3 linked regions of the Danio rerio genome follow. The protein of the gene in region 1 purifies or fractionates together with the protein of each later gene. This does not show direct contact. Links are inferred from orthologs where the notes say so. Each region holds a gene or a part of one and is shown on either strand. Other genes may lie near its edges.

Region 1 (3,084 bases):
TACCAACTAGTTTTAAGAGTAGTTAAAGTTGCACTTTTTTTTTCTTCCCCCATTTCTGGCGCCCCCCTGGATGTACAGCACCCTTACCATTTGCCTATACTGCCTATGCCACTGGCCGGCCCTGCATAAAGTACATATAAATAGAAAAGCTGTACATTAGAGGGTAAAAACAAAAGATTTGACAATATCAAAAGCTATAATCCAGGACTTTACAGTTTTTGACTGAGCTCCATGTATGCTTCCTGTTGAAAGTTCCATACAAATAATGTCCAGCAAAGATAGACCGTATTGATCTACTCATTATATGAGGGGGGATCCAGCGGCAGACCAACATTTTCTTAGCAGCTGTGAAGGAAGCTTAGAGTAAGTTATTTTGTTGCATTGAGAGTGATATGTTAGAAAAATCATTCAGGAATCATCTTTTCCTAACAAAAATGAACTATCATGTGCCAGCTGAGATGAAAAAGAATGAAGTGCAGGACATTTCCAATAATAATGAAAATAAGTGCCAACTGTCCTCTGTGAACCACAATTTCTATCTGGGTCAGGTGTTAAATTTGTTTTAAGGGGGGATAAATAGAGTCTATGCAATTGTTTCCAATGTATCATTTGACGATTTGTATTTTTTGAGGAGGATGGAATAGTGTCCCAAATTTGGTCAGAAAAGAAAGGTTGTATATATCCACTGATATCCTTAGACCAGACAGTAGTGATGGTGTTATGTAGAAAATATTACTATTATATTATTACTGGCATAGCAATCAAACATGAGTTTTGCGACTTTTTCAGGCAGAGGTGCAAATTCTTTGAAGATAATGTCACTTCACCAGTTTTTGTTGGAACCCATCACCTGCCACGCATGGAACCGGGACAGGACCCGTAAGATGCTTTTCATTCCTTTTATACTTTTATAATTTTTTTAAATTGATGTCTAAACCCATGTTGTGCTTTTTATTGACAGAAATTGCTATCAGCCCAAACAACCACGAAGTCCATATATACAAGAAAAGTGGAAATCAGTGGGTGAAAGTTCATGAATTAAAAGAACACAATGGGCACATCACAGGTACAGATCCCTGCAAATCTGACTGTAGAAGCATATCATGCTTGCTTTGTTAATATCAAATGTTTTGTTGAACTATACTGGAATTTGGTACCAATTGATACTGATATTTTAAAAACGTCCATTTCCCATTAACATTTAAGTGCTGTTGAGCACGTTCTTAAACGGCGCTGATTTGCCGTTGTGTTCACATGCTCAACAGAAATGACTGTAATTGGCCGTGAAGGTCATCAGTGCACTGAACTCCCTGCTGTTTACTGAGTATAAACACAGATACAAGGACATTCATCAGCAGATCACTTGTTTATCAGCTTATAGACAAACCAACTGATCGAGGTGACTTTGAAATGCTCCAGTGTCCCTGTGTCTGTGGTTACACTCAGTAAACAGCAGTGAGTTCGGTGAACCGATGACCTTCACAGCCAATTACAGTCATTTCTGTTGAGCATGTGAACACAACGGCAAATCAGTAGTGTTTAGGATTGTGCTTAACAGTGATTAAATGGGAAATTGACGTTTTTAAAATTTCAGTATCGATTAGTACTAAATTCCAGTATTGTGAAAACGCTACCAGCAAACAGTTTTTGTTTTTATTTCTAGGCATTGACTGGGCTCCTAAAAGTGATCGTATTGTGACCTGTGGAGCGGACCGAAATGCTTATGTATGGAGTCAAAAGGACGGCGTGTGGAAACCCACCCTTGTTATTCTCAGGATCAACCGTGCTGCCACGTTTGTGAAATGGTCTCCTCTGGAGAACAAATTTGCAGTGGGGAGTGGAGCTCGACTCATATCCGTTTGCTACTTTGAGTCTGAAAATGATTGGTTGGTCTCAGTTAAAATCTTGTGCCACTGCACTTTTAAAAAATGTAATTCTTCAGGTATTAATTATTATTTTTAATTTTAGGTGGGTTAGTAAACACATCAAAAAGCCCATCCGTTCAACTGTCCTCAGTTTAGACTGGCATCCAAATAATGTGCTTCTGGCAGCTGGGTCATGTGACTTCAAATGCAGGTGAGACTTTGTCTACATGCAATGTCTTTAAGTAATGAAATATTATTATTATTAGTGCTCATATGTGTTTGTTTGTTTCTTAGGGTGTTCTCTGCATACATCAAGGAGGTGGATGAGAAACCAGCTCCAACCCCGTGGGGTTCCAAAATGCCCTTTGGGCAGGTGATGACAGAGTTTGGTGGGGCGGGAAGTGGAGGTTGGGTTCACAGCGTCTGTTTCTCTGCCAGTGGAAACAGATTGGCTTGGGTCAGCCATGACAGTACTGTCACTGTAGTGGACCCCACAATAAGCTCAACGTGAGTATCCTAGATAGTCGGTGTGTTAAGTATGATTAAACCATTTTGTATTTGCTGGCAGACCTTTTGTAAAAGATCATGGTCAATCATGAATAACTGCACGCATCTCTTTTGCAGGCCGAGTCAGCTGAAAACCGAATTCCTTGCTCTTCTGAGTGTAACTTTTGTTTCTGAGAACAACATTGTGGCAGCGGTAAGAACCTTTACATTTCTTGCTCAGTTCGCTTCTCTTGGGGAGTTTGGTCTGGACTAAAAAGAAAATATATACACACATTTAGTCTAGGTCATTTCAGTCTAAACCTAAGTATACAAAGCAAATAAAGTGCTCATAGTATGTGGTTGCATATTATGTTGTTGTTTTAAGTATTGGAGAGTTCATAAAGAGCTTTGTAAAGTTGTAAAGAATGCAATATTTGATACATAAACAAAGATGCACTGCATAGAAAGAGATTTCTGGGGTGTATATTGAGAAAAAACTGACTGATCAGGCATGCTAGAGCATTTTGTTTTTGGGTTGCATCTTGGGACATCATGTCCTGTTTTTGGTTTGTGTAGATGTCTTTTGTTACTTCAGTCAAATCACTTGGAAGCGGACCAAAACCCACCATTCCAGCAGTTGTCATTTATTCATTCATTGGTTTGGTGCGGTGTTCACACTTATTTCACCTAACTGCGTAAACACAGCAATCCTGCTTTCTACAGCTGTTTACAC
Region 2 (4,459 bases), on another chromosome or scaffold:
AAATACGCAAAAAAAAAAAAATAGGTGGATGGAAACTAGAGTTGCACAATATTGTAAAAATTACACATTGTGTTTTTTTTAATTCGGCTATATATATATATATATATATATATATATATATATATATATATATATATATATATATATATATATATATATATATATATATATATGCATATATATATATATATATATATATATATATATATATATATATATATATATATATATATATATATATATATATATATGCATGCATGCATGCATGCATGCATGCATGCATGCATGCATGCATACATACATACATACATACATACATACATACATACATACATACATACATACATACATACATACATGTATATATATATATATATATATATACTGCGATATGAATACAATTTCTCTAGATGAGTTTGACAAATGTTTGTAAAGAATCTATAATTTTAAATAGATTGAGAAGACTCTGTAGGGGAGTGCATAAAATATAATAAACAATCCACATGCATAGATAAATTCAATAAAGAAATATATGCTAATTAAATAAACAGAGTTTTAGTGTTTTCAGAGGAGTCAAAATGTATTCAGATATTCAGAAATTGCATAATCATGTGTACAATAAGACTGTATAGTCTTCGTTTTGTAAACAATTTCATAAAATTAATCACTATTCATTTTTCAAAGTTACAAACGGTACATTTTCAATTATAATCCAGACTCAACATAGTGACTATTGAGAATGATCACATTGCGATATCAATGCTGAATAGATATATTGTGCAGCCCTAATGGAAATGCAGCTAATGTCTTGTGGAATGACAGAGAAAGAGAGGGAGAGAGACAACAAAACAAAAACAAAAGCCACATTGCACAAAATAAATCAACAACGTAGTAATCAGATGTAATATATCAGATACTGAAGATGTGATTTTCCCAGAGATGGGTTGCAGCTGGAAGGGCATCCGCTGCGTAAAACATGTGCTGGATAAGTTGGCGGTTCATTCTGCTGTGGCAACCCCGGATTAATAAAGGGACTAAGTTGAAAAGAAAATGAATGAATGAAGATGTAATCATAAAAAATAAGTCCTGAGACATAACTCTATGCTTAAAATGAATATAGCTTAAACTTCTGGAAACAAAGTGCCCCTTCTGCTTTGTTTAAAGCAGTAGTGCCCAAGATTTTTGGTATAAAGGGCCAAAAACCAAATATCATTGAGAACCATGGGCTGAAGGTAAATGTACCAAACTATTTTATGTTAAAGTTGCCATTTATTGGTAAACATTACTTTATATCATATTAATGAATGTGTAAAAAATTTTAAATGAAAACTTACCGCAGTAAAAATCACATTATAACAGTGGAGTTCAATGCTGAAAACACTAGTCAAGCAGAATCTGCCTTTGCATTGATTTGTCCTTTATCCGTCCGGTGACGGTATGTACATTTAAACTAAATCTGATTAATTTACACCATTTAATTAAAACATTTTGTCTCAGTTAGCTTTTAACAATAAAACAAACAATAAGAATAGCAATAAATCAAACAAACAAACAAACAAACAAACAAACAAAAGTTTACATTAGATTTGAAATGACAATCTCTAAACCATCCCTATCATTCTTCCTCTTCTTAGATAGGATGTCAGCCCAAATCAAAAGTTAACATGGGCCAACTTTGGCCCACAGGCCCTAGTTTGGGCATCTCTAATTTAGAGCGACAGATCGCAGTGATTAACCAATCAGAATCAAGTATTCCAGTAATAATAATGTAAACAATGACAGAATAATAGAAGGTATTTGCACGAAACCCTCCTTTAAAAGCTATAACGAGCAATTTATTTATTTATTCATTAAAGCTAAATATCCACAAACTAAGCACACCGTAATGACTCAATAATGACTTCAAACCACACTGAACTGAGCTAAACTGAACTGAACTTAAACACTAAAAACTGAACTACCCTGATCCAGTTACTATGACCATTTATGTGAAGCTGCTTTGACACAATCTACATTGTAAAAGCGCTATACAAATAAAGCTGAAGTAAAAAAATTTAATTAAAAAATAAATCAGAATGTGTGTTTATTCACATGCGCGCGACCGTTCCAGCTCAAGCACGCGCAGAATCCCACATTGAAGGGAAAAATGAAGGGCTAGAGGAGTATTCACGAGCAAATCGTGCACAGACGGGTCTGAAAAGAAGTGCTAATATGCTTGTTCCTGCAGCGACATGCATTCGGCTGAAATACACGAACAGGAAGTGCCTGAAATCTGCATTACGACTAACGTTAAACATTTCCAGAAATCAGGTCGGCGGAGGCGAAGCGTGCAGTGGCCAAATTTACTCAACTGTTTAACGCAGTAACTTAACATGTCGATCTCGTTTCCACAAGTAAAGGTTTATATAAAGGTTGAAATAATCATTAAAGGTTTTCTATGTGACATATACTGCTGGACACACCCCATACAGGATGCTTCAATCCTCCAACGTGAAAAACAGCGAATTGCCATTCAGAACTGAATCAATAATGAGTGTGTTTTTGTGCTATTATATGGGTGTGAAATGAAATATGTCTCTTGTTAAAGTCTGCATGCATTATATGAGCGATGTGACTGAGACAGGAAGATCTTCCTCTTACCCGTTGCTCGCGCTGTCGAATTTGAGGCTGAGAGTCTCCTCTATGATCCGATTGTTGATTTCCAACAAAATCATGATGATTTATGTGAATGTTAAATGGCTATGTGCAATTAAAAATATAAGAGTTGATGTTGTTTTATTTCTACAACGCTGCTACAATCGTTTTGGTTTTCCTGCTCCTGGACTTCTGGCCGCTTCCGCATTGACTCGAAAGACCCGCGGGCTGCCCGCGTCACCGCCTGATCGTATGTGCTAATCATTTAAACAAAATGTTTTTGACCAAAATTAAGCGTTTTCAAGTAAAAAAAAATCTTCTAGGTTACATTCAGGATGTTTTTATTTACTTTGTTCATGAATCGTTTCCACACTTTATGACCAAATAAAATCCCATGACGTGTCAACTCCTCCTGTTATCGTGATTTGCTTACTAAATAAGGAGTTTTAAAATCACATTGCATTTGTATTATTTATTCCTTATTTCTTAAAGAAATTACCTAAAGAAACATAAAACAGCGTTTTTGTAAATTTCAATGCCTTTATTTGTCCTCTATAAAGCAAATATATTAGCCTTACAACATTAGGTAATAAATGATAGAGCATACTGTAGTATTAACTATCGTGAACTGATAAACTGCAATAAACCATGTAGTATATTTAGGTTTTTCGTTTCTACAGTAGACTATGTAGTTATAGTATTAGATCATTTGTTCATATTAGCTATTATAATTGTTGTATTCGCAAAGCTAGCTACCATAGAATCAAGCGATCAGTTGAAGTTAGTATGGTACAAAAACACCTACTAAGTTATTCAAGCCTGGTTATGGTCCAAAAGCACGTAGGCAAGTAGCCTACTCAAGCCTGGTTAATATAGTCCAAAAACACTTACTAAGTTATTCAAGCCTGGTTAATATGGTCCAAAAGCACTTAGGCTAGTAGCCTACTCAAGCCTGGTTAGTGTGGTCCAAAAATACTGACTAAGTTACTCAACCCTGCTGAAAAATCCAGCTTAAACCAGCCTAGGCTGCTTGGCTGGTTTTAGCTGGTCGACCAGCCTGGTTTTAGAGGGGTTTTGGCCACTTCCAGGCTGGTCCAGCCATTTCCAGCCTGGTCTTAGCTGGTCAGGCTGGGAGTTGACCAGCTAAAACCAGCTTGACCAGCCTAGCCAAGCTCGGAGTCCAGCCAAAACCAGCTATATCCAGCTTAAACCAGGCTGGTCAGCTGGTTTTAGTTGGATTTTTTCAGGTCATTTTCCAGCCTGTATAGCTAAGACCAGGCTGCAAATGGGTGGAAACCAGCCTGGAAATGGCCAAAATCCCTCTAAAACCAGCCTGGTCGACCAACTAAAACCAGCAAACCAGCCTAGGCTGGTTTAAGCTGGATTTTTCAGCAGGGAAGTCTGGTTAATATGGTCCAAAACATTTACTAAGTTACTCAAGCCTGGTTAATATAGTCCAAAAACACTAAGTTACTCAAGCCTGGTTAATATGGTTCAAAAAACACTTATTAAGTTATTCAAGCCTGGTTAATATAGTCCAAGACACTTGCTAAGTTACTCAAACCTGGTTAGTATGGTCCAAAAACACTTAGGCTAGTACTCAAGCCTGGTTAATATGGTCCAAAAACACTTATTAAGTTACTTAAGCCTGTTTAGTATGGTCCAAAAACACTTATTAAGTTACTCAACCATGGTTAATATGGTCCAAAACACTTACCAAGTTACTCAACCCTGGCTAATATGGTCCAAAACACTTACAAAGTTACTCAAGCCAGGTTAATATGGTCCAAAACACATTACTAAGTTACTCAAACCTGATTAGTAT
Region 3 (2,929 bases), on another chromosome or scaffold:
CACTCAGATCTCTAGGATAAAATAAACTAGAAATTCCAAGGGTTCAGTCAAAGCAGGGTGAATCTGCCTTCAGCTGCTGAAATCAGCTTCCAGAAATGATCAGATGTGCTCCAACATTAGGCACGTTCTACTCAAGACTCAAAACACATCCGTTTAGCTGTGCCTTTACTGAATGAGCCCTGTGCTTCGTTCAACAGATCACACTATTGTGTCTTTCTTTTCTTTTTCATTCGTTTGAGACTTTCAACACATTTTAATCTATTTTTATTCTTTGTTGTTTTTATTTTCTTATACCTGTTTCTTTTATTCCTGGTTATGTGAAGTACTTTGAATTACCATCGTGTATGAAATGTGCTACATAAATAAATTTGTCTTGTATATCAGATGAGAAAATGTTGTCTTGGAAACCAACTGAAATAGAAACTCATAAAAGCTTTTTACATCTTTGACCCACATACTGTATGGCTACAATACTGAAAATATAATATTAAAAGCTAATTCAGAAAACTGATGTGTCTTTAGACGCTAATAATAATACTGTTTCTCTTCAATAGACTTTTATTTGATCATCTGCTGTTTTACATGACAGACCAGAAATCAAATACACTTGATATAACCAGTACAAAATCTGAATAAGGGTAAACAGGTTTGCATAAACATTAAAGAAAACAGACAGACAAAAAAAATATCCATCCACATCCCGCACAGAGGTACCAACTGAGATCCTGAGTAGGTTCTTACTGGCCCGGTGCAGACAGACTTTTGTTCATGAACTGTTTCTTTACAAAACACACCCACCACTGTAGATAAAAAAAAAGGAGAAAGTGTTATTAAATAATCACTGTTTGTCAAAATGTTTTTGTGAATTTTGGTGTGAGTATTTCAGGGAACATATATTCTACAGTGTACAATGTAGTACAATTTAATAAAATGTTTCAATTTTATTTAAAATGTTTCCATATAATGCAAAACTTTCTTGAACAATTATACAGGTTGAACATTATAATAATGACTTTAGAAATGTGTTTGAGAAAATAATAGCTGAATACACAATTAATTGAAAAAAGATTGCGATCTCGATTCGACCCACTAGACGATCTTAATCCAGCATTTCTATGATTCTGCCAACTGCTGCTGTCATATTTTCAAGTTCAGAAAAGAAGCAAAAGCGGCTGCACGAGTCTTTTCATTGTTTCACATGGGTTGCTCAGCAACATGGACACCTCCAAATGATATTAAAAGAGTCACATACTGTATTTATAAGGTACAATTCACCTAAAAATGTCATTTTTGTCTTCATATAATACTGTATTTGCGGCCGGGAAATCACAAGTGACGTGAGCTGCTGACCGTGAGCTGTTACCTCATTGCTACTTAAATGATAGACGCGCGCACGTCTACTTTAGTGAACAGAACCTGCATAGGCTGTGAAAAACAGGTAATAAAGTTGTAAATAATATTCAGTTTGTGGCAGAGAGTTCGTTTGAGAGCCACACGCAGCTTTAGTCACAATACAAATATAAATGTTCAGAAGTTCTATTTTACAGTATAATCTGAAAAGAAAAATTGGTTTAATTGTCATTAAAAAAACACTTGTAGACAAATGTTTTAACTATCATGAAAAGGAATGTGACCTTAAAAAGTAAAAAAAATGTGCCTTAAGCAATCTTTCCTTGACTTTTTTCCCTCGGTTCTTCTTGTTTGCATTACAGTAACTACTTTGAAGCACATTTTTCCTTCACTGTCATTTAAAAAAACGTCCCAATGCAAGATAACAGCAAAAAATCCTTTAGTCTTGCCAGATAAATTGATGAATTAATATTTAATTCAGGGTTTCTGCAGGTTTCACTGAGTTAACTTTAAGACATTTTTAAGAACATTATGAGTAAAATGTTAGACTTATACAGAGCTAAATGCTAAAGACATTTCCCCCCGAATATCGCAGTTAGAAAAAACATTCACTTGCCTTAAAAAATTATTACAATTTAATACATTTAATATTAATAATAAAAATATAGGCCAGGTCAGTAACCTCAAAAGTAAATAAATGGAGAGCTTTTAAGCAAATATTACTGTAAGGAAAGTAATTAAATGCAATTTTTAAATAAAAGTGAAACATTTTATTGATATGGATTGTTGGTCATTCTATGGATGGTAATGGCCAGATTGGGTAACTATACATGACAAATTTTGTTAAAATTCAAAATATTTAAGACCTACAACACAACATTTCAGTAGATTTAAGACTTGTTAAGGCCTAAAATTTAGCTTTTGACATTTAAGACATTTTAAAAACCCACGGATACTCTGCCGATTAAATTCACCTTGCTTGGTTTGTCTGTCTGAGGGTCGAACACTCTGTCACACAGTCTCAGTCCGGTCTCCTGGCGGATTTGTTGCAGGTAAGCTCTCATGTTTTCTGTCAAGAGAAAAAAATACAGTATTAAATCAGTCCAGAAATATCCCTTTTGAATAAACCCATCATTTATTGCTCCATACCTTCCTCCTGCTTGCTGGAGGGTTTAGCATACATGGCGTTGAGAGGGAAACCAGGCTCTCCGGGAATGGGGAAGTTGGTAATGCCCAGCGTGTACATCTCCTTCTCTCCTTGGCCCCGTGAACTGCACTGTAAAGCATTCATATTATTGAAGGTTAGATATGTATGAAGCATTACCTATTAGAGTATGAATCTTTCATTACCTTTTGGAGTTTCTTGAGACATTCAGAGATGTAAAGAGTGATGTAGATCAAGGTTCGATCAGCCTCATTCTAAAGCAAGTTAAAAATAATATTTTAATACAAAATCTTTAACATTTAAAGGACAGTTCACACAAAATGTACATTTCCCAGTCATGATTATTCATTACAGTTTACTCCAAACCTGTTTGAATTTCTTCCTTTAGTAAAGCGAACGAGATTTTAATTGACC

Evidence for each region.
Region 2: the proteins of arpc1a (region 1) and arpc2 purify together in Homo sapiens (affinity purification with mass spectrometry; 8 studies listed by BioGRID and IntAct, counting the BioPlex papers as one, with this or other methods). This does not show direct contact. The link is inferred for Danio rerio from reciprocal best matches to the Homo sapiens genes ARPC1A and ARPC2.
Region 3: the proteins of arpc1a (region 1) and arpc3 purify together in Homo sapiens (affinity purification with mass spectrometry; 8 studies listed by BioGRID and IntAct, counting the BioPlex papers as one, with this or other methods). This does not show direct contact. The link is inferred for Danio rerio from reciprocal best matches to the Homo sapiens genes ARPC1A and ARPC3.

What each region holds. Positions count from the first base shown.
Region 1 is NC_133178.1:39,753,715-39,756,798, forward strand, and holds part of arpc1a (actin-related protein 2/3 complex subunit 1A), read left to right. Parts: intron 1-789; 5' UTR 790-815; coding exon 816-879; intron 880-961; coding exon 962-1,066; intron 1,067-1,663; coding exon 1,664-1,886; intron 1,887-1,968; coding exon 1,969-2,076; intron 2,077-2,159; coding exon 2,160-2,372; intron 2,373-2,489; coding exon 2,490-2,565; intron 2,566-3,084. UniProt on the Homo sapiens protein: Probably functions as a component of the Arp2/3 complex which is involved in regulation of actin polymerization and together with an activating nucleation-promoting factor (NPF) mediates the formation of branched actin networks.
Region 2 is NC_133184.1:49,933,626-49,938,084, forward strand, and holds the start of arpc2 (actin-related protein 2/3 complex subunit 2), read right to left. Parts: upstream 2,833-4,459; 5' UTR 2,715-2,832; coding exon 2,641-2,714; intron 1-2,640. UniProt on the Homo sapiens protein: Actin-binding component of the Arp2/3 complex, a multiprotein complex that mediates actin polymerization upon stimulation by nucleation-promoting factor (NPF).
Region 3 is NC_133196.1:18,453,761-18,456,689, reverse strand, and holds the end of arpc3 (actin-related protein 2/3 complex subunit 3), read right to left. Parts: intron 2,770-2,929; coding exon 2,701-2,769; intron 2,627-2,700; coding exon 2,500-2,626; intron 2,420-2,499; coding exon 2,325-2,419; intron 801-2,324; coding exon 738-800; 3' UTR 539-737; downstream 1-538. UniProt on the Homo sapiens protein: Component of the Arp2/3 complex, a multiprotein complex that mediates actin polymerization upon stimulation by nucleation-promoting factor (NPF).